Rattus norvegicus: one gene and its partners. The protein of the gene in region 5 purifies or fractionates together with the protein of the main gene of each other region. This does not show direct contact. Links are inferred from orthologs where the notes say so. Each region holds a gene or a part of one and is shown on either strand. Other genes may lie near its edges. The genes, in order: Mgat1, Vps45, Abcb10, Letmd1, Slc39a4, Lemd2 and Agpat4.

Evidence for each region.
Region 1: the proteins of Slc39a4 (region 5) and Mgat1 purify together in Homo sapiens (affinity purification with mass spectrometry; 3 studies listed by BioGRID and IntAct, with this or other methods). This does not show direct contact. The link is inferred for Rattus norvegicus from reciprocal best matches to the Homo sapiens genes SLC39A4 and MGAT1.
Region 2: the proteins of Slc39a4 (region 5) and Vps45 purify together in Homo sapiens (affinity purification with mass spectrometry; 3 studies listed by BioGRID and IntAct, counting the BioPlex papers as one, with this or other methods). This does not show direct contact. The link is inferred for Rattus norvegicus from reciprocal best matches to the Homo sapiens genes SLC39A4 and VPS45.
Region 3: the proteins of Slc39a4 (region 5) and Abcb10 purify together in Homo sapiens (affinity purification with mass spectrometry; 3 studies listed by BioGRID and IntAct, counting the BioPlex papers as one, with this or other methods). This does not show direct contact. The link is inferred for Rattus norvegicus from reciprocal best matches to the Homo sapiens genes SLC39A4 and ABCB10.
Region 4: the proteins of Slc39a4 (region 5) and Letmd1 purify together in Homo sapiens (affinity purification with mass spectrometry; 3 studies listed by BioGRID and IntAct, counting the BioPlex papers as one, with this or other methods). This does not show direct contact. The link is inferred for Rattus norvegicus from reciprocal best matches to the Homo sapiens genes SLC39A4 and LETMD1.
Region 6: the proteins of Slc39a4 (region 5) and Lemd2 purify together in Homo sapiens (affinity purification with mass spectrometry; 3 studies listed by BioGRID and IntAct, counting the BioPlex papers as one, with this or other methods). This does not show direct contact. The link is inferred for Rattus norvegicus from reciprocal best matches to the Homo sapiens genes SLC39A4 and LEMD2.
Region 7: the proteins of Slc39a4 (region 5) and Agpat4 purify together in Homo sapiens (affinity purification with mass spectrometry; 3 studies listed by BioGRID and IntAct, with this or other methods). This does not show direct contact. The link is inferred for Rattus norvegicus from reciprocal best matches to the Homo sapiens genes SLC39A4 and AGPAT4.

Annotation. Positions count from the first base shown.
Region 1 is NC_086028.1:34,065,024-34,069,208, forward strand, and holds the start of Mgat1 (alpha-1,3-mannosyl-glycoprotein 2-beta-N-acetylglucosaminyltransferase), read left to right. Parts: upstream 1-1,385; 5' UTR 1,386-1,418; exon of another isoform or gene 1,419-4,185. UniProt on the Homo sapiens protein: Initiates complex N-linked carbohydrate formation. Essential for the conversion of high-mannose to hybrid and complex N-glycans.
Region 2 is NC_086020.1:186,291,678-186,295,177, reverse strand, and holds part of Vps45 (vacuolar protein sorting-associated protein 45), read left to right. Parts: intron 1-852; coding exon 853-921; intron 922-1,036; coding exon 1,037-1,174; intron 1,175-2,355; coding exon 2,356-2,466; intron 2,467-2,487; exon of another isoform or gene 2,488-3,500. UniProt on the Homo sapiens protein: May play a role in vesicle-mediated protein trafficking from the Golgi stack through the trans-Golgi network.
Region 3 is NC_086037.1:68,877,404-68,881,702, forward strand, and holds the start of Abcb10 (ATP-binding cassette sub-family B member 10, mitochondrial), read right to left. Parts: upstream 2,801-4,299; 5' UTR 2,730-2,800; coding exon 2,318-2,729; intron 1-2,317.
Region 4 is NC_086025.1:133,461,676-133,465,956, reverse strand, and holds the start of Letmd1 (LETM1 domain-containing protein 1), read right to left. Parts: upstream 2,801-4,281; 5' UTR 2,771-2,800; coding exon 2,649-2,770; intron 2,203-2,648; coding exon 2,051-2,202; intron 207-2,050; coding exon 91-206; intron 1-90. UniProt on the Homo sapiens protein: Plays an essential role for mitochondrial structure and function, as well as thermogenesis of brown adipocytes.
Region 5 is NC_086025.1:110,215,403-110,219,575, forward strand, and holds the start of Slc39a4 (zinc transporter ZIP4 precursor), read right to left. Parts: upstream 2,801-4,173; 5' UTR 2,709-2,800; coding exon 2,517-2,708; intron 2,105-2,516; coding exon 1,820-2,104; intron 1,388-1,819; coding exon 1,192-1,387; intron 1,092-1,191; coding exon 937-1,091; intron 849-936; coding exon 677-848; intron 424-676; coding exon 251-423; intron 142-250; coding exon 1-141. UniProt on the Homo sapiens protein: Selective transporter that mediates the uptake of Zn(2+). Plays an essential role for dietary zinc uptake from small intestine. The Zn(2+) uniporter activity is regulated by zinc availability.
Region 6 is NC_086038.1:5,295,350-5,299,632, forward strand, and holds the start of Lemd2 (LEM domain-containing protein 2), read right to left. Parts: upstream 2,801-4,283; 5' UTR 2,781-2,800; coding exon 2,048-2,780; intron 1-2,047. UniProt on the Homo sapiens protein: Nuclear lamina-associated inner nuclear membrane protein that is involved in nuclear structure organization, maintenance of nuclear envelope (NE) integrity and NE reformation after mitosis.
Region 7 is NC_086019.1:51,083,472-51,086,971, forward strand, and holds part of Agpat4 (1-acyl-sn-glycerol-3-phosphate acyltransferase delta), read right to left. Parts: intron 1,742-3,500; coding exon 1,580-1,741; intron 1,323-1,579; coding exon 1,169-1,322; intron 1-1,168. UniProt on the Homo sapiens protein: Converts 1-acyl-sn-glycerol-3-phosphate (lysophosphatidic acid or LPA) into 1,2-diacyl-sn-glycerol-3-phosphate (phosphatidic acid or PA) by incorporating an acyl moiety at the sn-2 position of the glycerol backbone.

The DNA of each region.
Region 1 (4,185 bases), on a different chromosome or scaffold from region 5:
GTGGGGCTTGCGGGCGGCTGGGACCCGGCCCCGGCCTGGATCTGGAGCCGGGAGGGCCGAGGCTCCCAGCCGGGACCGATGGGCGGGGCCCAGGTAAGGAGCCCCTGCAGTCTGCAGTAAGGGACTGAGTCCTAGCCGCAGCGGAAGGGAGGTTTCTGAGTATAGGGAGGGTCTCAGTGTCACCGTGCTGTAAGAACGCTGAGAGCTGAGCAGTGAGCGCGGGGTTCGGGAGGGAAGGGTGGGAGGAGTTAAGTTCGGGGGGGGGGGTGTCATGTGTCTGCCACGCCCCTACAGGAAGAGGGGTGTGTGTGTTTATGTGTGTGTGTGTTTGTGTGTGTGTGTGTGTTTATGTGTGTGTGTGTGTTTATGTGTGTGTGTTTGTGTGTGTGTGTGTACACACTCATAGGGGATGGGGCAACAGGGAGGGCTCTCAAACTGAGAAATTAGGGCTACTACAAGCAGGACACAGGCCTCCAATATTCCAGGAGAGTGCTCTCAGGAGTGGCCCTGTGAAGGAGTTTGAAAGAAACTGGGAATTACATCCTTGGCATAGTTTTGGAAACAGTGGGGGAGGTGAGGGTTGCAGAGAATGCCTGAGGCTAGGTCTGGGTAGGATTTAGTCCAGTTGACAGGAGGTAGGAGATTAAAACACTGAACTCCCAGAGGAGCTTGAGAGATAGGATTAGTAAGTGGTGTTTTAGAGAACAGTAGACCCTATTTTCTGTATTTTTTTTTTTTTAGAAGACAGTCTTCCCATACTGACAGTATTTTTGGTTAACATTTCTGTACTGAGAATAGGCATATCACAAACACATAAACACACATGCTCGAAATGCTGGGGATACAGTATATACTCTATATACAAATTGTGTGGAGTAGTTAGAGTTTGTTGACTGAACATGGTAAAGGAGTGTAGTAAATATGGAAGTCTTAGAAGTCCATTTGTGCATGTATTAGATTAGAGTGTCATACTGTTTAAATGTTCCGCAGGTTCACACAGAAATCAGCCGCCTGGGCCGTGTCGGTGTTAAAGCCTGTTTCTTCTGATCCCCAGCAGAACACAAGTGGACCAGTGGATGATTTTCTCTTGCCTCAGCAAGGGATGCCACAGTCCCTGGAATCTGTCAACCACTAGCCTCTGAGCTTTAAAAGCCAGCTGGATGAAGGGATGTAACGCGCACCTGGGAGGGACACTGAAGTCAGCCGTGGGGGGGGAGGGGCCCGGACACACCCCTTCCCCCCCAGACTCCTCCCCATCACGGTCCACACGGCCATGGACCTTGGACTTGGATAAGTGGAGAGAAGCTGTACTTTGGTGGATCTGATTCTCAGTTTTGGAAATGAAGTATTAGGCAGGGGGGTGGGAGGGGGGGTTGCGCGTTGATCTCCAGGGAAGCAACAGAGAGAAGAAAAGAAAGGTAAGTTTGTTACTGTCTCACTTAGCGCCTTGTTGCTGTGCAGGAAATGTGAATGGGAACGCAGCCATGTCGGAAGTCATGGCACCTCCTGTGTCCTGATGAGAACAAACCCTTATCCTGATGGTGCACAGGAAGCGGCACCCTACTTCACTCTTTCAGGGGGTGGCAGAGTCGTTCTTTCCCGTTCCTTACTGAGGCTCCAGAGAATAGCTGGTAAAGGATTGTGAGGTTAGGTCAAGGAGAGCCTGCAAGGAAATCAGGCTTCTGGAGGACTGTTGGATTAGTTACCTTTAAAAGCCTTTCCTCCAGTGAGATAATAGGATTTCAAATCCGTCTGGACTAAGGCTGAAGTGGATGACTCTGGCCGGTGCTGACTGCTCTGTTTTGGGAATCTGTTAACAGAATAAGACTTTCAAGGGAGGTGGAGAGGGGAGCTGGAGGATAGGAAATGGTTAGATAACTTACTAAATGATCTCGCTTCCTTCCTCCCCAGTAAGAAAGCTTAGGTCACGAAATCTCATGGAAAGAACAAAAAAACAGAGCTTGAGTTTGGGGAACAGTAAAATCCGTGGTCTAGCCCAGACGTTCCTGGTCAATGTGCAACTTGAGATATGATAATTATCTCTGTCCTGTTCTTTTCACACAAGAAGATATTTCAGTCAGGTTGCTACTAGGAACAAACGGAATAATTTTGCATTTTGAAAGTACCCTGGGCCTTGTACATATAAAACGGCAACATTGACTTTTCCTGGTTTCTTGTTTATTGTAACACATAGAAAAGCCCTGGATGAAAGTTCGTTCTTGTATTGACTGAACATGTTGGCTGGAGCCATAGCAGACATAACTGATGAAAGGAGACCGCCTGGCGATTGTTTCATCATGCTATATAAAGGTGGACAGGTTTAGGGAAACAAATTGAGGGATCCTGTGAGCTTTGGAGATAGACGTTTTAAGTATTTCTTGGAGTGGGTGCTGGACCTTTTCTCCCCTGTCATATCCCAGTCTGCTGTCAGGCAGTGACAACTGCCTCCAAACTGATATCTCTTGGGCTTTTATTTCTCTTTAGGTTGTTCATAACCCAAGCAAGTTTGTCCTTAGTCATCTAAGTACCCACCTGCTCCTTCCTTGAATGTTTTTTTTTTTTCTTTTAAAGTTTACTTATACTAAGGTGCCTGCTTTTCCTAGTGGTAAAGTCAACAGCGAAAGGCAAGGGACTGAGTAGGAATTTGAGGCAGCGTGTGTTGGCCAAGGCTAGCTAGACTCGTTGAGCCTTCAAGTCAATTACAGAGAGACGTCGAAGTCACCGATGACAATGACTGTTCTTCTTGTCATAGGAGTCCCTGTCTTTTCTCAGTGGCCTGAAGGCTGGGCTGTCTGCCCTGAGTAGGTCTTCTGGCTCCGAGCTTTCTCTTGTCTGGACAGACCAGGCTTCTACGCATGAATCGTAGTTGGATGTGTCACCCTCCCTTCTCCCTCAATAAATGCACAGTTGCCAATCTTTGCTTATGTAGGGGAATCGTGATTTCTTATGGCAATGCCTCCTTAGCCACCTGTAGGGTGTGATATGTTCTAGAAGACTTTCTTCATCCTACTGAGGAGACCCTCCTGGCCCACCGAGGTGTGTTACATTGATTGTGAGTATGCTATCCAAAGTGTCAGGTCTGTTATCTGCTTTCTGCCTTTAAGGAAGAGCATGTTTTTCTACTTTGGGGAGGAGCCGTGGAAGCCCTGAGCTGGAAGAGCTCACCTAAGGGGTATGGCATATGTTGATAGCATTTGTGCAGTTGAGGGCTGAGTTGACTTCACCATCAGCCTGCCAGGGAGAGAGAAACTAGGTGCCCTGACAGCCTCTCTGGTAAGTCCTCTCCTCTTTAACTTGAGCTAGAGTCTCTCACCTGCCAGAGCCTGGTGACTCTTCTGTCAGACATTTCTTTCAAACCTTCTCATGAGGTCACCAGAGTGCTAGGGTACCACACTCAAGTAGGTCAGGCTGTTAGCCAGGACTGGTGATAAATTTAATCACACATTGTATGGGGATTTTTAACTGGATTTATTTAGACCTTACTTTATTCTAAAAGGAAGCGCAGGTAGCTAATGAAGGGTTTCAGAGGCATTGCTCAGTGGTCTACTGTTAATAAGTTTGAGTTCCTTTCCGTATCACTGGTTTGGGACAGACATGTTAGGAGGAATGACAAAGGATACTAAAATGCTAGTTTAACACTTTGGTCTTGCTTCCTCTTATGCCTTTAAGCCAAGATCTCTTCAGACATTCAGAGCATGAATCCTTTCCAAACTGTAAACACTTTCAGGTATCTAAGTTGTAGTTTGTGAGGGGCGATTTCCTGGAAGTTTTTACTTTTTGGTGGTGGAACAGTAGGCAGGCAAGTATATGACGTCTTAATTCTCTGTTATCCTGTGACTTGATCTTCCTGTTTTTCCATTTGCACATAATCTGATCCCAGGCTCATCCCCAGCGTCCAGACACCCAGCTCCCATTTCTTACTTTCTTCCCCAGTGTAACCTCTGTAGAACCTGAGGTCTCAGTCCTGACATGTTCTTGTTACTTAGACCAAATGCTTTCTATTACTCCTGTGTAAAAACTTACCCAATCCCAATTCTATGCTGTACCCTTTTTGTCGGGGGGGGGGTAGCCTTTTTGCATTTGGGGATCATCTTGTGAGCCTTGGAATTTAAACAAAGGTCTGTAGAGATAGATGTGGTGGGGAGTTACTGTGTTCTGACCGGCTTCCTGTCTAACTGCTTTGGC
Region 2 (3,500 bases), on a different chromosome or scaffold from region 5:
TGTGTGCACACCAGAACAGGCTTGTACTTAGGAAGTCTTGGAGTTCTAAATCGGATAGAAAGAGAAGTCATGGAGGCAGCAGGAGGGAGCAGAGGGGCTGATTCACTGGGGGACATTTTCACAGTTGGGGAAGAGTCAGTTTGTGCTCCTGTTAGTTCATGAGAGTTCCTGGGCCCTGCTTTAAACACCTTGGTCAGTAAGACTGCGCATGACTGGGAGAGAGAGAAGAGGGACCAGAGGCTGAAGGAGGGCTTCTAATGCTCTGTCTGAGAGACCTAGGATTCGGGAACTAATAACCAGCCTTGGGCACCAGGTAAAACTTGGAAACTCCTAGTCACTTATTTATATGCTATAGGATATGTAACATTAGCATTATACTCTTACTTTTCCTTCTTGAATAGTTCAGCGTTCTTGAATACACTTGTCATAATATTTGATATATTTATCACTTACATGAAAAGTACTGTCTTCTTAGGCAACAAATTAAGTAATTTTGAGTTTTCAAAAATGTTCTAGGTGATAGAACATATAAAAAGAGTGATTTCTTCTAAATCATATTCTCCCATACAAGGAAACACTTGGCATTTAATGTGGTGTATCCTACAGCAGTGTTTTGCTTTTTACTAATTGCAAGTTTACCTTGGTGTGTATACTTGAGCATTTGTCATTGCTGTATTTATAGTAGTGCAATTGCACCATACGACCGTTGCTACGCACTTACTTGAACATCTTGTACGTTATCGCCTTCCATGTTCCCATTCGGAGCTCATAGCACTCAGTATATCGGCGTCTATAGCCCTTGAGACAGCTGCAGCCCATGCACTGACCAATCTTGATGCTTTTCACTTGCAGGAATTTTATGGAGATTATATTGCTGTGAATCCACATTTGTTTTCCCTCAATATCTTGGGCTGCTGTCAGGTATGGAAGGCCAGGATTTTCAAAATAAGTTAATCAAGTGGAAATTAATTCAACAAGCAATGAGTTAAGAGGAAAAAGGTAAAATATTTTCTTTTAATATGTTTTTAACAAAAAGGGTCGAAATTGGGATCCAGCCCAGCTATCCAGAACCACTCAAGGGCTGACCGCTCTCCTTTTGTCTCTGAAGAAGTGTCCCATGATTCGTTATCAGCTTTCATCAGAGGCTGCAAAGAGACTGGGAGAGTGTGTTAAGGTACAGTAGTCCCTATTCCCGGTCCTAAACCCTCAATGTCTGTCATTTCCCTGTAATAGTTAAGCAAATAAAAGAGAGGAAGAAAAAAGGAAGGAAGCAAAAGAGGCAATATGTTAGTTTCATTGGCAAAGAAGTATGGCTATATAATTCAAAATAATAAAAAAAGAAGCAAATTAGCACCATTACCTATAGGTTTAATATTAAGAAATATTCACAGCTATTTAACTTTAGGGGCCCAACTGAATCACTTGTAAAGTAGGGTTGCAAGTCCTGACTTTTTCCCCCTTGGAAATAGCTAGGTTTCTTATTAATGTACCATTTATAGCATCAGATCCAACAGCCCCCTGCCCCAACAAGGAAGTTGAAAAACATTAACAGAAAGAGCATATGCTGGATAGGCTAGGGAGTCAGAATCCTATGATGCCATCCCTGCCATCCCTGACAGCCCTGCCGGCCCTGCAGGCCCTGCAGGCCCTGCTTTGGGACCCAGAAGAGAGTATGAGACGCTTCAAGGCTTCCAAAGCCTCGGGGAGTCCAGGGTCATTTTGGGAGGAGTCCTCAGGGTTCTGCTTTGCGGAACCTGATGGGTATGTTGTACCTTTCCCAATCCTTTTGCCTGAGGTACATTAAACTAATTCCTAGGCCAAGGTTTGACCTGTAGCTTCTGACAAACTGAGACGAAAAGTGCTTTCCCTTGACTCCAGCTCAGATGTGCTAGCCTTGGACAACTGCTTGAGCTCCATCTCACAACTTCGATATAGGAACCAAGTCCTAATGTCTCCTTTTGTCATTCCGAGTGAGTCAGACAAAGCCTCCAGAGCCTCCTCATTAGGGCTGGGGTCAGCCTTGAAGTGCTGTATTAGCTGCAGGAACAGCTCAAGGGTGAACCCAGAGCTGCTATATGTGGAAGACAGACTGGGATTTGTCTCCATCTTGTCTCTTCTCTCATGGCTGCTGCCGATTTGAGTGTCCTTGAGGCCCTAGTCTAGGATTTTAGCTAAAATCCCACTTCCATCAAGTCCCGACTTCTTAAATAGCATGCTACAAAACTCTATGAAGGTTTTGAATCCTTTTATGGGAGGCCCATGAGGGTGGGAAAAGTACTCCATGTGTGTCCGATTCTTGTCCTCTCTGCTTGCAGCCAACTGCTTACCCAGACCACTCTCTTCTCTCACCCTCAGCAAGTGATAAGTAAAGAGTATGAACTCTTTGAGTTCCGGCGGACAGAGGTTCCTCCACTGCTTCTCATTCTGGATCGCTGCGATGACGCCATCACCCCACTGCTCAACCAGGTGTGAGCCTTTGTTAGCAGGAAGAATGGGTAGGGGTGGCGCTCATTAACAAGCAACCATGGAAACCATCCATTCTTCCCCCTTGCTTTCAGCTATTCTTGGTTTTTGCCTTACATTCTCTGGTGTATTGGTGCCCATCTCTCCAGCCCCAGTCATTTGTGCTGGCTTCCACCTCTTTCCTCCTGTCCTTCCTGCTGCTGTCCCTCTCTCAGCAAGGCCACCTCAAAGCTCTGGACTCCACTTCCTAGGGTCTCCTTTTCTGGCCTTACTGCTCGAGCGTTGGTCTAACCCCAATCTCTTGCAGTAACAGTGAAACAGGCATCCATTCAGTTCCTTCTTTTGATTTTTCTTCAATCTGTATTCTACAAAACCAAGGTTGTTAATGACCACCCTCAGCTTACAACTCCTGGCCTAAAAACCTTTGTGTTCCCACTTACCCACTGGGTTAAAAACAGTCTCCTGATGTTGGTACCCAAGCACATTCGGGGTGTGTACCCAACTGCACAGAAAGCCAGAGCTTCCTGCTACAGAGTTCCTTGCCATTGTGCTTGTGGTGTGACTGCTGTCTAAGCACAGAGACCTCTGGGATGCCTTCTCTTCGCCACCTTACCTATCAAAACTGTTTTCTCTTGAAACCACTGAGAAACCTGGGAGCAGCTTTTTTTTTTTTTCTGGAGCTGAGGACCGAACCCAGGGCCTCACTTGCTAGGCAAGCGCTCTACCACTGAGCTAAATCCCCAACCCTGAGAGCAGCTTTTTAAAGACTGCTTCAACAGACAGGGTTTACTTTCTCCCTCAGGTTGTGGAGAATTTGTCTCTTATGCCACATGCTGAACTTGCCAAATTACATCTTTGGTTTTTTTGACCATCTTGGGTAACACTCCTAAGGTAGCCTGTGTCCCCTCATGCTCATTCTGCTGCAAGTTAAGCAGTTCCTTGTATGTAGCTCTGCCGTGTGGTGATTGTGGATTTAGAGGGGAAGCTCTCTTTCCGTGTCAGTTTCTCTCAGCACATAGTTATGGCAGTGCCAAGGG
Region 3 (4,299 bases), on a different chromosome or scaffold from region 5:
TACTCAACAGCTCTGTCCCCCCAGCACTTCAGAAATGTGCCAACCCTTGGCATGATCTATTACAAATTAACGGCACCGCCACTTCCTCTTACTTCCAGCAGCGCCAACGACCAGACCGCCTTTACCGTGGCCTCTGAAGAACGTAAAAGCTGTCTAGAGAGCGCTCCTTCAGTCTTCCTGAAGGCAGAATATATGTGTTACCTACTTAGGAAGCCTTAAGACGTCCCAGCACTTGAGATCTCAAGCTGGAGAACCATCTGGACTAATGGCAAGACCCTGACTCAGAAACAAAACCCTGACTGTCAGTGGCAATGTGTCTGTCCCTCAGGTCACACACCTGACAGCTCAGTGAGGTAGACTGGTGGCTCAGATGATGGAAGCCGGTTCCAGTTCTAACTTAACTTAATGCAGACTCCACGGTATGCTGGCAGGGCAGGACAAGTGGGGCCAGGTGACAGGTCATAGACATGACAGGCACAGGCAGATAGGGAAGGGCTAGGTGGCATCAGCAAAGCCTGACTCCCCACAACTTTGAGATCTGAAGTTTCAGAAGCAGGAGCCTAGGTTCCTGCCTCAGCCCCTCACAGTCTGCACACACTCAGGTGACCAGGGTCTCCAGGCTCCTCCGTGCACACTGTCTGCTCCTCCATGTTCCCCCTCACGCCTGCCCCCCACCGTTGGATATCTTTTAAACCTGGGTTTGGTGGCTCACACTTATAATTCCAGCACTCGAGAGATGGACAAGAGGATCAGGAGTTCAAGGACGCCCTCAGCTACATAGTGAGTTTGAGGCCAGCCTGGATTATATTACACCTGTCTCAGTAATTCAGTGATTAAGAGCACTGACCACTCTTCCAGAGAATCCAGGGTTCAGGGTTTAGGGTTCAATTCCTGCTACTCACATAGCAGCTCATAACTGTAACTCCAGTCCCAGGGGATCAGACACACATGCAGGCAGACAAAACATCAGCACACATAATAAACTAAAACAAAACAAGTGCTCATCTAATGAAAGCAAATAATTCATTTAAAGAAATTAAAGAAAACACAGAGGAAAAAAGCTTACAAGATAGTCGAGAAGAAAAGGACTTTTTCCATCGAAATTCACAACCATCGTAAATTCTGTCTTCTTATAGTAAGGTCACAACAACCTCCTGACTCTCGTAGATGGCAGATCCCCTGTGCCCTTGCTCCATGCCCAATGGCCCCCAAAGAGGGTAATTTGTGCAGATAGGGGCTCAACAACCAACCTGAGGTCCTGCCTGTTTCAAGAGTTGTATGACAACGTCTTTCCTTTTGCAATACCCTCATGCCTATCCCATTTCATCTCGCATCCAAACGGTTTCCCTGCCTGCTAAGCAGGGATTCCCAGCAGGAGCAGGACTCCATGCCAGCTTCTCAAGGTAATCCCACAGGAGGCGGGCACAATCCACATTCATGAAAGGACTGGAGATTTAGGGATCTGGGTCTCAGTGTGCCTTTGCTCCAACCAGTCTTGCTTGCATTGGCTGCCAGACATGGGGGAGTTACAGAATACTGTCATTTAGACCCAATCAATTCTGATTTCTTTTTAAAAGCCATTTGTCGATCCGGGTGAGTTTCTGTCTAGTTTCTTTATGCCGTGGCTAATGCCTGGTCCTGACCAAGCCATTTAGGGAGGTGACAGCCAGCACGAAGTTCACAGTGCTCAACTTCATCCTGTTAATTTTTGGTGGTTGCCTTGATACTGTGTAACCCTAGCGATTTTTTTTTTGGTTTTTTTTTGTTTGTTTGTTTGTTTTTCTTTTCTTTTTTTTCGGACCTGGGGACTGAACCCAGGGCCTTGCGCTTGCTAGGCAAGCGCTCTACCACTGAGCTAAATCCCCAACCCTCCTAGCGATGTTATTATTATTATTATTATTATTATTATTATTATTGTTGTTGTTGTTGTTGTTGTTGTTATGCTAGGCAAGCGCTCTACCACTGAGCTAAATCCCCAACCCTCCAAGCGATGTTTTTATTATTATTATTTTCATCATCATCATCATCATCATCATTTTAAATGTATAATATAAAGTAGGCATGGGTTTTGTCAAAACTTGTGGTGTTTTTTTCCTTAAAGGAGGAAACGCTAGCTTATTCAGAGAATGCACCAAAGCAGTCGCTGACAACAATTTTAATATTCTGGTAACAGGCTCTACAGATGGAGAGCGTCAGCCAGCTGGGAAAAGGCATCCATAGCCTTCCAACAGGTGTCAGCAGACCTGATCGCCCTTGTCAAGGCCGAGCCCAGGCCGGGGCCCACCGGCCGCCCACTGGTCTCCCCCAGGGTTCCTACCTGACAGTCTCCCGCGCTCCGGGCGCACCAACCCCAGGAGCTTCCACACTTCTGAGCGCCCGGTCGTCGCGGGCCGCCGCTGCGAGTCGTTCCCAAGGTCTCGCACACCGGTGGCCGCTGCTCCCTGGAGCCTGGCGAACAGGGGATGCGCGGCGCGGGGTCCTGCCAGCACCCAACACCTGCGGATCCCCGAGGAGGTGGCCCACCGTCCCACGCCGCCAGGCAGCCCCGAAAGGGGCACGGGAAAGCGGAGGCCCGGGCTCGGCTCGTGGATCAGAGAGGTCCACGCGCGTACGAGCGGAGTCCACTCAGAAGCCAACCATGTCCGAGAGGAGACGGCCGGGGCCCAAGCTCGCACAGCAGGGCCCCGGCGCGGAAACAGCAGCAGCGCCCTGGCAGGAGGGGCGCGCATGGCGCTGCGTCTGCCCCGACAGTCTCACCAGCCGGCCGGGCCGCAGGACCCGGGACCCTCCCGGCCCGGCCCGAGCACGGGGCGGGGACGCAGCAGCGGCCCGCCCCTCCTGCCCCATCGGGCGGGCGCCCGGGCCGCGCCTTCCGCCTCGCAGGGTCCACCCCTGGGCGGCGACCAGCCGGTAGCTCCCCAGCAATGCCTTGTCTAGGCTGCAGTCGCCAGCGCCTGCGCCCGCGAGCCGCACGCGGAAGCTTTTTCGCGCTCCTGCGCCCTCCGCGGCTTGTGAACCTGGGAGCGTCCGAGCCCTTTCTGTCGCCGGCCACTGCCGAAGTGCGCACGCGCGGCACTCTGGTCGCAGATTATGGACCGCGCTTGAGACCTTTGGGTACCTCTGCCTTGGATACGGTCGGCGGACCAAGGAGACCAAGGCTTTTTATAGGACTGTGCAATGTAGGAGCTGCTGCAGAGGCCGGGAGAGTAGAAGTGGCCCCTCGAGCAGCACGGCGGGCCGTGGGTATCCTATGGAGGCCTGGAGTGAGGAAGGGGGAGAGTTTGTGGACTCCTAGATAGTTCGCTCGACCAGAACGAAATGCAATGGAGCCACTGGAGTTCAGCCGGGCACACGCTTTTAATCACAGCACTTGAGAAGCAGAGACAGGAGATCTCTGAGTTCGAGGCCAGCGTGGGCTGCATAGTGAGCCCCTGTCTTTAAAAAAGGGGAAAGGGAGAGTCGCAAAACAACCTCAACATCAATCAGTATTTTAGTTCAATATATTCCTGAAACCCAGCACGAATGGAAAAAACTCTTAAGGAACAAAACATCAGACTTTCAAACGCATAAGTCTCCGAATTTGCAGGATTCTTCCTCTTTTTACCCCAGTCCCAACCCTGGAAAAGTCATTTATTAAAATAGGAAGTGGGAGGGTAATACAGCCTTCACTTCATGAGTACCGGGTCACTTAAGTTCAGAAAAAAAAGAGACAAGAAAAAACAAAACCAACCAGTAAGCAGTTGTAGTTTATGTTTTTTATTTTGTTTTGTTTTCCTCTCTTAGAAAATTCCCCATGTTTGGCCCAGACATTGAGCACCCCTTTAATCCAAGCACCCAGGAAGGAGAGGCAGGTAGAATGGAACTCTTTGAATTTCAGCCCAGCCTAGTCTACATAGAGAGTCCCAGGATAGCCAGGACTACATTAAAAAACAAAGTCTCAAAAATAATAAGAATATAAGAATTTTCCATATTTGTCTGGATCCTGAGACTTCAGCATCTTTGTATGTTTTCACACTCAGACAAGGGCCTCACCTGCATGTCAAGTTCCGAGGTGGAGAGGTGAGCATCACCACGAGAACAGGTTGGAGCAGTGGGAAGTCCTTTACAATGCAGCCCCGAGACCCAAGAAGACTTGAGTTTTCTTCCCATTACTGCAGGAATTCTAACCCCGGGGAGTCGCAGGGTGAACTGAGTTTGAGCCAGCCTGCTCTACAGAGTGAGTTTCAGGACAGCCAGGGTTACATAGTGAAACAATGTCTAAAAGAAAAGAAAAAAAAAAAAAAAAAAAAGACCCTGCGG
Region 4 (4,281 bases), about 23 Mb from region 5:
CACTGATCGACAGGAAGAGAAAGAAGCAGAGTTGAGCTCCAGGTTAGTTACCTCGCCCAGAGCTTCTGGGTGTTTGTCCCTGGCCCGTACCTGTCTCAAATGCTCCATCTCCCGGTAAGAGAGTTGATGAAACTTTAGATTTTGTTTCCACATGTCTGCCTTTATTCTTCTAGCCTTTTTGGCATCAGCCCATAACATCTGTATTCCTGCCCCATTAAAGTGGAGGACAGAACGTGGTGTTATCCCGGTTTGAATCTCCTACTGTGGTCACGCACATGCACACACACCAGCCCCTCCCCGGCACTACCAACAAGGAAGCTCCCGATCCCTTCCCCGACACATCACCCAGCTGAATTATGATCTGCTGTGGAAGAGTTCCTTACTCATGCTTGGTTTTAAAGTCTAGCTCCCTAACACAGGGGCAGCATGGTCAACTAACCCTATGTATTCCCCAGACAGATATTAACTTGCTGCTTCCTGGGGAGTGTTTATAATTTGCATAATTTGACATACGGCTATGATTCCATTCTGAATCTTCAATCTATGATAATCCTTATATTTATCTAGTTATTTTTTTTTTAAATGCTTCCAGAGCTAGAGAGATGGCTCAGAGGTTTAAAACATTTACTGCTCTTGCAGAGGACCTGGGTTCAGTTCCCCAGTACCCACATGGTGGGTGGTTCACAACCATCCAGAACTCATGTTCCGGGGCATCTAGCACTTTCTGACTCAGAGAGCACTAAGGCATATACACATGTATACATGCAGTCACACAAATAAAATGAATAAAATCACCTTTAATGCTCCCAGGTTTATGAGCGAAATATTACCTAGATTGGCTTCAAATAATACAGGGCATGTATGCGTATATATGATTGGTGGCCATTAAATATTTTTTTCTGGGGGTTTATTGTTTTTGTTTCTACAGGATCTTGCTACGTAGCTGAAGCTGGCCTAGAACTCCCGCTCCTCCTGCCTTGGGTTGCTGGGTTGTGGGGCTGGAGACACAGAACCACCATAGCTGGCAAGGCAGCCATTCCTACCTCCACTTTTCAGACAAAGTAACCAGGAAGCTAACTAATTACAGTAACACTCAAAGTTGGCAACAGTCTATTGTTTTAATTAGTGGGTAAAAGTATAGAATACAATAGTAACAGTTAACACTTTCTGGGCACTTAGTGTAGAGCTTGCCATACTAAAATAGGTCAGGCCATGTTCCAAGCATTTTAAATGTGGGGGTTTAATCTCTGCCATTAGGTGTGGGGCCTCAGCATGGTAATCCCAGCACTCAGAACATGGAGGCAGGGAGACCGTTAGTTCAAGGTCATCAATGACTCAGAAAGCCTCAGGCCAGCCTGGGCTACACTCTTTCTAGACAACTAAGTAATAGTCATAAACAGGTAATCAGTAGGCAGCTTCTATTGCTTCTTTATAGATGAGAAACCAAAGGGACAGACCATGTAAGTCACCACCACCAGTGCACAGTCTAAATCACAAATGGGGATTTGAGTCAGGCATCTTGGTTCCAGGGTCATGTGACATTACTTCACATCCCTTCAACCTAGCTGGCGGACCTCCGCTTTGAACTGAAACACCCGGAAACCATGTGTATATAATTCTATTTCCACTACAAGTTACCTAAACTGCCCCAGGAAGCAGCAAGTTAATATCTGGTTGGGGAACATGTGGGGTTAATTGACTGTGACGCCCTGGTGTTAAAAAGCTGAAGTTTAAAGAGAAGCATTTACATCTGGTTTTCTTATGATAACAGTCCCCTGCTCTTGTGCAGGACAAGGAATTTCTAAGGAAATTAGAATATATCTCCTCTGCTCTCTCCTGTGATGTCAGATAAGAGGTGACCTGTCTACCCTAATAACATCCTTCTAGATACTTAAGAGGTGGCCATGACAATTTGTAAGAATTACTGCTCAAACGCTGGAGGAAGAGAAGGCCTCCCAATTCACAGCGCTGCAGTGGACCCCGCACATCCACTGACTGTAACTAACGCTGCCAGGAGAGCGGATTCGGGGATTTCGATGTTAGCGTTTACCTTTTATGAAGGTTGTGTACAAGGCATAGAAGCGGGGGAAGTGACGCCCCAAGAAACGGTGGTACGTTCCGTTAATCGCCCTCGTCTTGGTCACCACGTAAGAAATCAAGTTCTTCACGTCCGCCTTTGGAGAAAGGTGAAGCTTTGAAGACCTACAAGGAAGACCAAAGAGACGATCTGCGAACTAGTAGAAGCCACTTCGTGCCTGGGGCCCCTACTATAAAACAACACGAGTTCCCGTGGGCGGAACTCGACCCTTCTGGAAACTCAAGCCCTTTGGTCTGAGACCAAAGGCAGATCGTGCAGAAAAGCCGTGAACAGAGGGGTGAGCGTGGAGTGCGCGCACAACCTGCGGGGACAGGGGAATGCGAGCTGAGGCCATGCAGAGATGGGGAGGGGAAGCTGATGGATGAGCTCAGGATGTGCGGGGAGATCTCAGGACACAGAGCATAGGGAGGGTTGGGGACCGGCGTTCGGTAGGGATCCAGCGTGGAAAAGCAAAACCCAGGGCCCAAGGCGTGGGATCCCGAGAGGCGGAGGCTGAGCCGCTGGAAGGGCTTCTACGTCAAAAATGCTCTTCTCTCTCCAGGGCCCTCACCGAGGGGCTCGCCACGCAGGGCCAGAGCGGCCCAACTGCAGCCTCCGGGTGACAAAGGGTCCAGGGGCGACGGTCGAACCCCACAGAGCAGCCCGAGACCAGCACACCCTGGACAGCGCCATCTTCACAGGCGGGGAGGGAGAGGGGAGACAGGTCGTCTCCGGGTCAGAGTGCGCCCCGAAGCACGCACGCGCCGCCCCTCGGCGCTGACAGGCGGCTACGAGCCGCCCGGCGCCCCCGGTGCGAGCCCAGGCCGGGACCCGGATAGGACGCAGCGACGCTTCCGCCCGCAGGACCGGAAGCGGGCCTCCCGGAGGGAACGCGCGGACCCGGCCTGAGGTAGCGATGGTGAGCCGAGGACGGCGTCTCCTTGAGAGACCCAGTGCCCTCGTCGGTCCCTGGGGCCTCGGGGCCACGGGCAAGCGCTGCCTTGACCTCTGTGGGTGCCCGGGGCGGTGGCCCCGATGGTAGCGGCGACGCGGGAGGCGCAGCGCCCTCTAGTGGCGGCGATGCGGTAGGCGCAGCGCCCTCTAGCGGCAGCGGGAGCGAGCCTCCGCTCTCCGTCAATCAGGAGGCCAGTGTGGAACCCAAGAAGGATGTTTCACATCCCCTCTCTTCCTCAGCCCTCGCTCTCTGGGTCTCATGTGCCCTTGTCACATAATGCCTACTTGGAAGGGTTTCTAGGCGTCCAGCCGAGAGTTGACGGCCCTCTCGTGCCCGTAGGCCTTTTAACCGACACGAAGCACACTGAAACCATGTGTCTGAAGCCAGGTTTAGTGCGTGGTACCTTGGACCTGTCGCCTCAGTGTACTTCCTGTGGAACGTACTTGGGTTGTAGAATTCGGTGAAAAGTCAAGGATGAAATGTTTGCAAAGACTTCCAGGTCTGTGGAATGTCTCGATGTTGGGAGGGCTGGTGATTTTGACAGATGCAAAGCTGTACAGTGCAAGTACTGGGTAGATGAGGTAGGTAGGATAAAGAGTGACTGTTATGAGCTATATATGCTCAGCCCAGGGAGTGGCACTATTAGAAGGTGTGGCCCTGTTGGAGCAAGTGTGTCACTGTGGATGTGGGCTTTAAGACCCTCACCCTAGCAGCCTGGAAGTCAGTCTTCCACTAGCAGCCTTCAGATGAAGATGTAGAACTCTCAGCTCCTCCTGCACCATGCCTGCCTGAATGCTGCCCTGCTCCTGCCTTGATGCTAATGAACTGAACCTCTGAACCTGTAAGCCAGTCCCAATTAAATGTTGTCCTTATAAGAGTTGCCTTGGACACGGTGTCTGTTCACAGCAGTAAAACCATAAGACAGTAACCAAAAGATGGGTTCTCTCCGTTCTCAGGTAGCTTCTAAGTCCCTCACCTCCATCCTTGAGTGTATACATTTATAATCCCAGCCTTCCAATGGGGGAGATGGGAGGTAGAAATAGGAAAATCTCCAGAATCTCAGAGGCCAGCTTGCCTGGAACACCCTGCAAGGAAAAGAGAGAGAATCTCAGAGGCCAGCTTGCCTGGAACACCCTGCAAGGAAAAGAGAGAGAGAAAGGACCCTCTTTCTTTTTTTTTTTTTTTTTTTTTTTTTTTGGTTCTTTTTTTTCGGAGCTGGGGACTGAACCCAGGGCCTTGCGCTTCCTAG
Region 5 (4,173 bases):
TAAGAGGTTGAAGAAGCTCTCAAACAGGAAGAAAATGTAGAAGCCTCCAAGTACAGCCAGCAGGCGCCAGGTGGACTGTCCACCAATGCTCTCCTCCTCGTGGGAGTGAACCTCTCCACTATGCGTGTGCAATCCCAGCACCTGAGAAGGGGGTGGGTACCGACTGGGGACTTCAGGGATACAGGGGGCTTTAGGCTGGGGCTAGGAAAGGACAGTGGGGGTGGGAGGACCCTGTTGAGTGAGGGCTGACCTTGGGTATCAGGTGCAGGAGAGCATCGCCTGTGAGTGCACCCACAGCCAAGCTTAGGAAGGTCTGCATGATGTAGTGGGTGGCTGTGCTGCATTTGGCACAGGTCAGCAGCAGAAGACCGAACACAGCGCAGAGGCAGATGAGCAGGGTGGCCAGAGAGCCATACAGATACCCTGTGGGTGAAGCTACACTGAGATTCCCCCTAGATCCTACAGAGCCAATGCCCAAGTCCAGCCAGGAAGTGAGCCGGATCTCAACAGATCTGTGGGCTGTCAGCAGGTGCCAGGTATCTATTTACACTGGCCCTCTAGCCTTGAAATCCACTATCTGTCCCTCCTTTGCTGGTTCCTCATTCCTCAGTGCCTACTCCCTGCTCCCTCGTCGAGCTCAATACCATGAGGCTAGCACCCAGGGTTAGGGACTCACTCTCTGCTTGACTGAGCTGGTCCTGTACATGGATAATGGGACTGGAGCTGCAGGCTTCACTTAGCTGCTGCTGGACCAAGGCAGGGGTCAGTTGGGCCCAGGCCTGAGGGCTCACCCCGGCCTCTTCAGATAGCCCATACACAGCCATTACATCTTTGGCACTCAGGCACAGCTGGAGGCAAAGAGAGCAGGACAGGCATCAGGCATCTGAGCAGACCCATGGAAGCCCACCTTCCTCCAGATCGGCAGGAGTGACTCACCGTGTCCCATACACTGGAGCTGCTGTTGTGGGTAGCATGGAGCTCAGAGTCTTGGTGGTTGGCTTCCCTGTCCAGATGACTGTGGTCAACATGGTCACCATGGTCACTGTGATCCTCTCCACCCACCCCAAGGTGATGCATCAAATCCTCCAATTCTGGCAAAAAAAAAAAAAAGTCAGTCCAGTCAGTGCGTTCAGCGCCAGCCTTGTCCCCTCCCCCAGGAGTAGGGGCTGATGATCACAGACTAGGCCTCACCGGGCAGCGTGATATTGCGAGGCTTACTACTGAGTTGCCTGAACACAAAGTCCACAAAGTACTGAGGGCTAGGCAGGCCTTGGAAGCAGGATCCATTAAGGACGTGATCCAGCAAGGCTGTCAAGACCAGGCCAGGGCTTCTGGAAACCCCTGCTTCCTCAGCCTCCTCCAGCAGTTGGGGAACATCTACACAGGTCTGTAAGAGAGACAGGCCTCAGCTCCACCCTCAGTAACAACTTCTGGAGTCCACTCACTGGATGGGTCTCCCATCAATCCCCCAACCCCCTCAGACAACTTCCCAGATTTCACCAAAGACTTCAGACTATATCCCTATACCAGCCACCTATCCCATAAACCTAGGCTGCCCCAGCTAGTCACTCCCTTCACTGTGGCCTATGACGTCCCTCTGCCCCAGAGCCTTCCTGACCGCCATTTCCCCAAAGGGTTCCCCCAGACTCCCTTGGAAGTCATCCTACCCAACAGTGTACCCAATACACTTAGCCACCCACGTATCTCCACAGACACCAATGAGGTTGCACGTGGGACATTTCTCTTCCTGGGGTAGCCTCCCTTCCATGGTACTACACAGTCCTTGTCACTACACTCTGAAAGCCCTCTGGGCCCTCACCTCCTCCCTGGTGGGTTGGCTGGCATCATGGGCCTCAATCTTCTGCAGTAGCTGGCTCAGACCCAGGGTCATGGCCTCTGGACTCTCCAGTTTGGCCAGGTAATCGTCCACATGAGAGGCCAAGAGGCCAGCTCGGATGTCCTTGCATGTTTTCTCTGGGTCGTTGAGGTAGAGGGCAGCGGCGGCACTGAGGTAAGTAATGTATCTGGACTCCAGGACTGATTCTGGGGCAAGCTGTGGCTTATCAGGTTTGCCTAGAGCCAAGGCAGTCTCCACAGACAGACACTGTGGACAAACAGGTAGACAGGGTCCGGGCTAGATTGGGCCCACCAGGCTTAGGCAGGGAATGGATTCTATCTTATGTCCCCTTCTGCCGCTTGTACAGTTAACCTGACTAGGAGCCTACACAAAGGGGTCCCCAGCAGTTACTCTCTGATCCTGAAGGTGAGAGTAGTCACTTAGAGTCAAGGCAAATTTGATACCCTGGGGGGGAATGAGAACTACGTGTCCCAGGAGGGAGGCCAAGCCTGTATAAGCCCCCCAGAAACGGAAGGGAGGCTCCAGCCTGCCAGCAGGTTCAGACACCAGCCTCCAGACCCGCCTCCTGGAGTTTGCCCAGCTCTCTTTAGTGCCTGCCACAGGGTGGAGCAGGCAGGAAAGGGCCGGGGCTGGGGGACCCATTGGGTGGGGGTGTTACCTTTTCACACGGCCCGTCGGTGCAGTGCACACGGGCCACCAGCGTATTTAACAGGCCGTCCAGTGCCGTTCGATCCAGAGCACCCTGGCCCGAGGTGAGTAGGCTGAGCAGGTGATAGGGCTGGACCATTGCTGCTGTGCCCACCAGCATCGCCAACAAGAGCCCCTGTGTGAGCGACTTTGGGAGCATCATGCCTCACGCTCCCAAAGTGTTCCCTGCAGTGGTGCTGGCTTCTGGGCTAGCAGGAGACTGCTGGGACTGCCTGGGGCCAGACTGGAGCTGGGTTCAACTCGCCTGACCCTAGCTACAAGACCTCTCCCAGATATTTCCTGCAGGGCTCTGTGATTGGCTGCTGGGTTAGCCATTCCAGTGGCAGATCCTCCCTGAAAGTCTAGGGGCAAGGAGCTGTAGCCTCCTGGGGCTGGAGCTAAAGGTGGGTCCCTTTCGTTAGGTGGGCGGCTTGAGCCTGTCACACTCTGAACCGCCAGTCGGGGCTTTCTCTGTTCCCTGAAGAGCCCGGATCATCCCCTTCTGTTATCTTGCCTCTGGAGCTGCGGATTAGGGGTTTGAGCGCATAGATGTTACCAAGTCAAACAAGGGTGTTCTATTTGACATTTTCAGGAGAGCCCTTAGGCTTACCTCCACCCTTCACCAGCTGCCTCTCAGCTCAAGCAGCTTAGACAAATTCCAAGTCTTGTAGCCCGAGGGTGGGGGTGCCGTGTTCTTGGCTCCTCTGGGTCCAACATGGGCTACAGTGGGAGATTCTGAAAGATACTTGCTGAGTCATGGTCCCCAGCCCTCCGGGGGAAAATCTCCAGGAAATGGCTGAAGCCCTGACCTAGACAAACAGGAAGCAAAGATGTGACCTTGGTCCTAGCCAACTTTTGGGGCTTTGAGGAGTTTCAATTGAGCAGTAGGAATTTGAAGCCCTGTGGTTGAGCCCTTCAGCCTGAGCACAAGAAGACTGAGGTAGGGCTGCAGTTCCCAGCCGTGCCCCTTCCCAACCCTTCCCAACGGATCCTTCCGGCCTTTGACCCCTGAGCCTTATCTCTATCCAGGTGGCAGGCTGAAGGAGGGGTTGGAATTTCCAGGAGCTTAAGATCCCCAGGTCACAAGGCATTTTGGCTTTCTGGAAGCCACGAGGCATTTTGGCCTTCTGGAAGAGGGCTTCCAGTAGCCCCCGAGGTACTGTGGACCTCTTCCACGCAGGTTCATACCAGTCCTGAACTCTAGCCCTCTGGGGTGTGGTTGGATATGAGCCTAATAACTAAAGAACTCTGTCACCTAGTATTCTGGAGGGTAGGGCAGGGTGGGGAAAGAATCTAGCTGAGTATCCTTGAGCTCAGGGGTCAACTGCTAAAGACCTGTTCCAAACATACACACGTCCATGTTAATAATGGCTAGGGTCCTTGCAATGCAGCATCCCTCCTGCTTTTGTGGAGGAATTGTGGCCGGGAACTGGGAGAGCCAACATGAGAGCATTCCCCACAGGTAACTCTGAAGATGCCATCCACCCAAACTGCCCTTCCTATTCCTTTTCATTGCTGGGCTGCTGGGGGCTGAAAGCAGGTTGGTTTTATCCCCTAGGGAGAAGTCTTAGTATAGACTTGATTGATCTGGCTTCCCTAGACTTCTCCCTCAAAGGGGAGACCTTACC
Region 6 (4,283 bases), on a different chromosome or scaffold from region 5:
CAAGAAAAGAAAGAGAAAGGTTAAAAGTGGGACTGGGTAACAGAGAGACCTCTCAAGACCCAGGGGAAGCAAAACTTGGCTGGCACAAAGGTAGAGACCGGAAGATCCATCTGTCAGTGGCCAGTACAGTGCAGGCTCCAAGACCCAAGGGTTCCTCATGCTGGGTCAGGACACTGGTAATTAGGGCCTTTCCAGCAGCCACCGATTCCTGGGTAACTTAACCTCTGTTTCTGGTCCTGAAAATGGAATTGCATGGGTCTTCCTATGTACAGCTGTAAGGCCAGCACTCAGGAGGTTAACACAGGAGGACTGCCACGAGTCTGAGGCTGGCCTGAGGTACAGAGAGGATGCTGTCTCAAGAAACAAAACAAGGGCTGAAGGTGGCTCAGCTGTTCTTGCAGGAGGCCTGAGTTTGAATCCCAGCATCTACACGGCTGCTTACAACCGCCAGAAACTCCATTTCTGGAGTCACCATCGCCCTCTCCTGGTCTCCATGGGTACTGCATGCAGGTGGTGCAGATGCACATTAGGCAAGACACCCATACACATAAAACAAGTACAAAAACAAAGAAAGGATGGATGGATGGATGGATGGATGGATGGATGGAAGGAAGGAAGGAAGGAAGGAAGGAAGGAAGGAAGGAAGGAAGCCAGCCAGCCAGCCAGCCAGCCAGCCAGCGGCTTTTGTTGCTTAACTGGGGAGTTAGGTTCAAACAAGACAAGATACAGAAAAATTTTACGAGCTGTGAACGACGGTATGTCAAGTAAGAATGAATGCTATCACAGGAGGGAACTCTAGATGGTCTTACATCGTAAGCAGACAGCAGCACCCAACGCTATACGACATCCCCTGAGCACTGCCAGCACTCACCTCTGTTAGCCTCTAGCAGACCCGGAAACTATTCCCAGGGTGGCTAACAGCTCCAGCCATGGAGCAGAACAGACTCGCACACGCCCAGACCTCCATTCCTCACAACACCTAAGACAACGGCTGAGCTTGGCCCGGTATTTCAGCTACTCCTCAGTGGGGGAAGATATGACCCTGACTCGAGGCTAGCAACAGTGTTAACCACGGGCACGCTTCAAAAATAAAACGAGCTGTCATTTTATACCTATATTTGTATCAAAACGATCGATCGGGGTCTGACGATTCTGCTCTATAATTCCGGCTTGGGGGAAGGTAGGGCAAGATCATAGTTTGGAGTCATCCTGAACTAGAGTGAGTTTGAGGTTAGCCTAGGTAATTTAGGGAGGCCCTGCTTCAAAGTAGTTTTCAAAAGTCAGCTAGCGAGCGACTGTAGCTTGGTGGCAACATGCTTGCCTGACGTATGGGAGACGGACCCTAACTATAGTCTCTTATGCCAGGGGGATGGACTTTCATAAAAATGAAGTGTTTTTCTTCTTTTGTTAGAACCAAGAGTAAGAGGCAAAAATCCTTCTTGGGAGACACCAGTCCTCAGCTGTTCAGGAGGCACTCAAGGGATGCAGAGTCATCTGAGTGTGGGCAGAGATGTCTAGTAAGTTGCCTGAGGTCCTCTCCCAGAACAGCCCGAGGGTGCTGTCAGCCCCATAAGCACCCCAGTGGTACCAGTTTAAGCTTAAAGGAATTCTCCCACGCCTGTGCCACAGGCAGGCCCATACTCCTTTTGACAAATGAGCCAGTGTTGGTGCTACAAAGCTGGGACCACAAGAGCAGGCATTCCCAGAATCTGGGGGGGGGGGGGTAATCTGGAGCCTTCAGAGGGTCTCTCAAGTGTGAACGAGCAAGAAGTCAAAAGGGAGGAAGACAAGAGGGGTGGGCTGTCTGAGTGGGCGTGGAGCTTCCTCCCCAGAGGCCATGAAGAACCTGCTCCCTGCAGTGGCTGAAAGGGAGACTCTATAGAAAGACTGGGGAAAACAGAAAAGAGCAGAAAGTGGAGACGGAAAGTGAGGGTCTGGAGGTGAGAAGACGGTCGTGGCTCACAAGGCGCGACGGGGACTCGGTGGTCTGGGGCGGGGGGCGAACACCCGTGCCCGGGGCCCTCCCCTGCGCCGGCCCGGGACGTACTGTTGTCCTCCGCCTCCTGTGGCGCCGAGGGCTTGCCCATCTTCACCCAGAGGATGGCCAGGAAGACGAGCAGCAGCCCCAGGCTGGCCCAGAGCAGGAGCCGAGACAGGCAGCGCTCCAGCCGCCGGCCCGCCTCGGGTCGGGCCCGCACCACGCCCGCGGAGCCCGTGCGCTGACCCTTAAGGCCGGGACGCGTGTCGGCGCCGAGGAGCGCGGAGTGCGGCCGCGCCGAGGCGGACGACGCGACCCACCAGTGGCGGGCCCGGCCCGGGGCGGCCCTGTCGGGCGTCCGCGCATCCTCGTCGTCCTCGGAGCTGCCCCGGACCGAGGCGCGGCGCCGCAGCGGCCCGGGCCCGGTGTGGGTCGGGTAGGAGAGGCCCCGGCTCACGGCCCAGGGAGCGGCGGAGGCCCCGAAGTTGCCGTAAGGCCCCGGGGTGTCGGAAGCCGCGCTCGGGGCTGGCGGGGACAGCCAGGGCTCCGACCGCGGGACGGCCGCGGCGGGCCGCGCGCGCAGCGGCGCTTCCTCGCGTAGCCGGGCCTCCTCCCGCTGACGCTCCGGGCCCCGCGGCCGGGCCTCCTCCCGCGGCCGCTCGTCGTCACGCAGCCGGGCCTCGCCCCGCAGGCGGCGCAGCTTGTTGCGGTAGACGTTGCGAGTGGTGTCGGTGATGGGGCCTGGCTGGAAGCCCAGGGCCTGCAGCTCCCGCCGCAACTCCAGGTCCGACAGGCCGGCCATGGCCAGGACACCGCCCCCTCGCCCGCCCCCGGCGCGCACCGCACCCGGAACTGCTCCCGCCGGCAGCCGCGGCGGAGCGGGCGGGGCCGCGCGCCATGATGGGAAGGTCAACACTGGACGCCATATTGGGAAGGGCGGCGCCTGAAGGGTCTGTCCGCCATGATGAAAAATGTCTGTGTCGGCCTGGAGCCGCCATGTTGGTGAGGTCCAAAGGGTTGGGTTGGTTACCTTTTTACCGGTGTCTGTGCGCTCGCGGGTGCTTTCATCTCTCCCCCCCGCCCTCTAGTTTACCTTTGTCTGTTAGATCTAGCAGTGCTTATCCTAACGCAGTGCTAGCACGTGGTAGACATTCAATAAAATGTTGATTTACTTAATGGATGAGCTGCCCGACGGTGTAAGAAAACTTCCGCCAATAGTAGAGATCCAGCCCATTTGCGGGTCTCCGGATGGGCGTGGGGGGCTGTGTGTGAGATTTGGGTGGTGCAGAGTCCGTCTGGCATGTTCTCGGAGGCCTTAGGTTGACCGCTTCAGACCAGCCTCAGGCACGCAGTTGGTGAACAATGAAACATCAAGAGTGTGCACCCTTGGGACTGGAGAGATGGCGCTGCACTTAGGAGCACTTGGACCGGAACTAGGTTTGGGCACCAGTACCTAAGTGGCTGGTGCACATGCATGTGCGTAAAACACTCATGCATAAAAGAAAAGTAAATATATATAGTTTTAAAGTGCAGCTCTGGGACAGATTGATCCACAGTGATCACAGGTGACCCAAATATCCCCAAGCCCAGAACTCCCGTGGGCGGATTCCTATACTCTGGACTCCTAGCGGCAGATAACTGTTCCCTAGGTTCCTGTGGGTGGATGAGCCTGGTAAAAGGAGGCATTGTGGTACCTGGTGGAATTCTCATGGGAGATGGGATCGGGAAGACCTATAGTCAGTACAACGGTTTAGAGGATGGTCTGCAGAGTCTCGCCGTTTGATTTCCAACCTGCAACCATTCAGTGTGATAATTTCCAATTAACATTTCTAGCCGACTTCCCATATCTCCCTTAGAGGGCTGCTGTGAGGATTAGAAGAGACCTTCAGGACAGGGTCTGGAACAGCCTCCTCCCTCGGCCAAATCTGTGCAGTGTTGGGAGCTTTGGGGGTGGGGGCAGTGATTTGGTTAACGAAGGGTCAGAGAAAGTGGTGACAACTGGAAACAAACACAGTTCACAGCCTTGCCCTCACTCTCTTCCCCTTCCTGTTCCTTCCACATCCTTCATCACCTTCCTTTTCCTAGCAATATAGTGGCTCCAGCTCTCCCTCATTCTCTTCCCAGCCACCTCCTCGAGATCTCCCTGCACTCTCCCTCACCTTCCTCCCTGCCTTCCCCTAGACCTGGGCCTTGCTCCTCTGTCAGAGTTTCATGGTTTTGCGCTTGTTAAACCCCAGGAGTATTCAGTGCCGGCCACACAGCTGGGAAAATTACAGCCTCAGCTCTGTTGCCTTCTGTCGTTAGC
Region 7 (3,500 bases), on a different chromosome or scaffold from region 5:
ACAGCCGCCTTTTCCCAGCAGTGGGCAGTTTGCTTAGCTGCATCACGCAGTCTTCCAAACCTAGATCTTCTGGAGAGTGGGCTTATGATGCCATCATCACACAGGGCTGAAGAGACAGGTGCCAGTCACACGTGCAGGCAGAGCCCACTGCACTAACACTGATCTTGACCGTAGCTGGGCAGCTTTACACGTCTACAGTTAGTGTTAGTAAAAGTAGTGGGGGAAATCACAGAAATTGTATACCGTCCCTGGATCACTTGGAATATGAAGAACAAGGATTCAAATGTGATAAAATCGCCATCCATTTCTTTCCTTAATGCCTAACCCCACTACAGGTCTGTAGGTCCACTATCTTTCCCTATGGGAGAGGGTCCTCATGCTGGCTTGCAGAAGTGTCTAGAGGCATTGTCCTTAAAGACCCAACCACTTTCCCTGTTATTGGTGGGCATTGATGCCTAAGGTGGGCAACTGTCCCAGAAGATATTTAACCTGTTGATATCCTTGGCGCCCTGGATAAATCCCCCCTCACAAGAGATAAAGACAAGGCTATAGAAGCTAGCAGCATGGAGCCAGAAGCCACACCTGACCTGCCTCTGGCAATACAGCAGGGCCTGCTTGGCCCACTTTTTCCTTCAGGACAAAGCGTTCTCTTGGCAGGTCTAGGACATGAAGTTCTAGGAAGGCCTGCCTGGCTCTGTGGTGCCTCACACTTGAAGCAGTGTCAAGTCCTATCCAGCTCAGGTAAGACGTCAAGCCTCCTTTGGAGCTGAAGGGCCAGGGAGTAGGGATGTGAGAGAAAGGGGTTACATAGGAAAACAAATATGTTTTTAACTGAAGAGGAAGGGTAAAAAGAAAACGGGGGAAGTCGCTGCCTTCTGTTGGTAGCTACACTGGCTTGAGGCTCCAGACTCATGGGTCTGTACAGATCAGATCATCTGCAGGTGGTTATCAGCAATAAATAAGCAAGAGAGGGCCTCAAAGATTGCAGCTCCATGACCAGGCGATCTTCTGTCCTCCAAGGATCCTGCACTTTCTGCACGCACAGCGCAGTGCTGCCACTGACCAGCAGAGGGGAGTATTTACTGGGATTTAGAAATATGAAGTGCCCTGCCTCTCGTCCCAGGTTCCACCTAGCTTCAAAGATCCCCCATTTAGCCAGCATCCTTACCAACATCTCGCAAGCACTTCACAGTGATAGCAAAGCCCTTGGTGCGTGGCAGCAGGTGATGCTTGAGGCTGGGCAGCCCCTTGGCTTGGGCTACCTGCATGCTGATTTGGTGTTTCTTCTCTGTGAACCGTGTGCCCTCACAGTGGATCAGAAACTGAAAAGCAAAGGATGCTGGTCACACAGGGGGATTCCACGGTCACGCAACCCCAAGCTCAACTGGAGGCCACAGTCCCAAAGATGTTCATAGTCACACTTGACTCCAGGTCAGTCCCCATAGTGTCCTCGTGCCCCACAAATCCCTCAGGTCTCATGTAATTCCAGGTCACACTCAGTCCGAAGTGACTCCTATGTGTGGTAGCCACACATGATGCCACAGGAGCCAGACAGCACACTGCTCCTTTGCCTACATACCAGATACTTCTCTGGGTAGTCCCGGAGGTGCAGCAGGCTCTTGGCAACCGTCTGCCGATCTTGCTCCCACTTGCGTGTGCAGAAGATCATTTCCACAAAGTACCACATCCAGCCAATGATGGGGACATAAGCCAGTTCTTTCTTGGCCAGGACTTTGGAGTTCTGAAATAGAGGAAGAACCTTAGGGTGTCTGTGAAGGAGACATAGCTGTTGGAGCTCTCATGGGGAAGGAATGGCCAGTCATACCAAAGGCTTGGAGCCCTTCCTTTTTCCCACTGCACTGACCTGAGGAAAGGTCATGCCCACCACTGGGTGGACCGCTGCATGACAAGGGTCTGTGAACACGCACAGAGGTGTGAGGATACCCTCACGGACCACGGCCCTCCAGATTATCGACACCTGTGTGTTTGCCAAGCCCATCCTGAGGTTCTGTCCGGCAGGTCTGTATAATGCCGTGCCACAGACCAGCACATCAGCAAAGCCACCGAGTTCATACAGGCAAGGCCAGCAAGGCTCACGGCACTGGCAGGCTAGCGAGTGGAGGCCAGCAGAGTTTGAGCAGTTCCATGGGAAGCAGGGGAAGCTGGGAAGTCAACTTGGCTCAAATGGATAGATTCCCTATTCATCTCTGCCACTCACTTCTGAGGCTGGAAGCAGCCAATCTCCTCAGGTTGGGGTAGCTGCGGTTGGTCCCCAGCAACTCCTGTGACCGCACTGTGTGGGCACCAGGGGTGGGGTGGGGAACTTAGAATCTAATGGGGCAAGAAGTCAGGGGGATGCAAAATGACTCTTACCTTGCTGGGTTTGTTTTCTCTCTCTCTCTCTCTCTCTCTCTCTCTCTCTCTCTCTCTCTCTCTCTTTCTCTCTCTCTCTCTCTCTCTCTCTCTCTCTCTGTGTGTGTGTGTATGTGTGTGTGCATGCACACATGCATGCGAGTGGGGGTTGCACATTCATGTGTGTGAATGCTGACACCTACCATGGTACAAGTGGAGGCCAGAGGACAATCAGTCCTTGTCTTCTGCACTGTTTGAGGCAGCGCCTCCTTGTTGTTTGTTTGGCTGCATAAGCCAGGTTAGCTGGCCCACGAGTATCTGGGGATTCTCCTGTCTCCACCGCTCACCTCCCCGTAGGAGCAGTGGAATTGCAGACACTCACTCACACTATGTGTCTTGAGCTGTACGGAAGTTGGGGGGATTCAAACTCAGGTCCCCATACTTGCATGGCAAGCCCTTTACCCACTCAGCGCCTTGACCACTGCCACCATTCGGATTTTTACCCTCCACTTTGTAATCGACTGAGACGATCTCTGACTCTTGAGATGGATGCCCACCCACACTGACTGTGTAGACACTTGAAGGCAGCTGTCTATCCAGGTCCTGAGCCTTCGCTGCCTGGAGGGGAAGAGCAGAGGTTTCACACCGCCCCTCCCTTCTCTCCCCTTTTGCTGTCTTCCACTTGGTGTCTTGTGGCTAAGACCATACTGTCATCATATCTACCGTGCTTGGGACCCTGAGGTAGACTTCTGAGGAGGCCTCACCTACATCTACACCCAGCATGGGGCAAACTGCCAGACTCACTCTGGAGATGATCTTGCTCTTGTGCCTCTCGCCCTGGAAACCAAGCAGTCTTTGGGCTCATAGTCCTCCCGGGAGCCTACTGTCCTGTGTCCACACTAGATTTCAGACTCCGGGTGACAGGGAGGGACATTCCTGCTGGTCCTCAGTTTCTTTGGTTTCTGTCACCTTCCTACTTAAAGCTTTGACGATGAGAGCAAACCGATCCAAACACAAAGCCTCCACTGGCAAATTAAGCTCTTTTTTTCTGGAACTTAAAACTTGTTTTTTTTTTTAAGGTTCTATGTACCGGATCTTGCAAAAATTACATTTGGCGGGCTCAGGAATTACAGGATGACCCACACTGC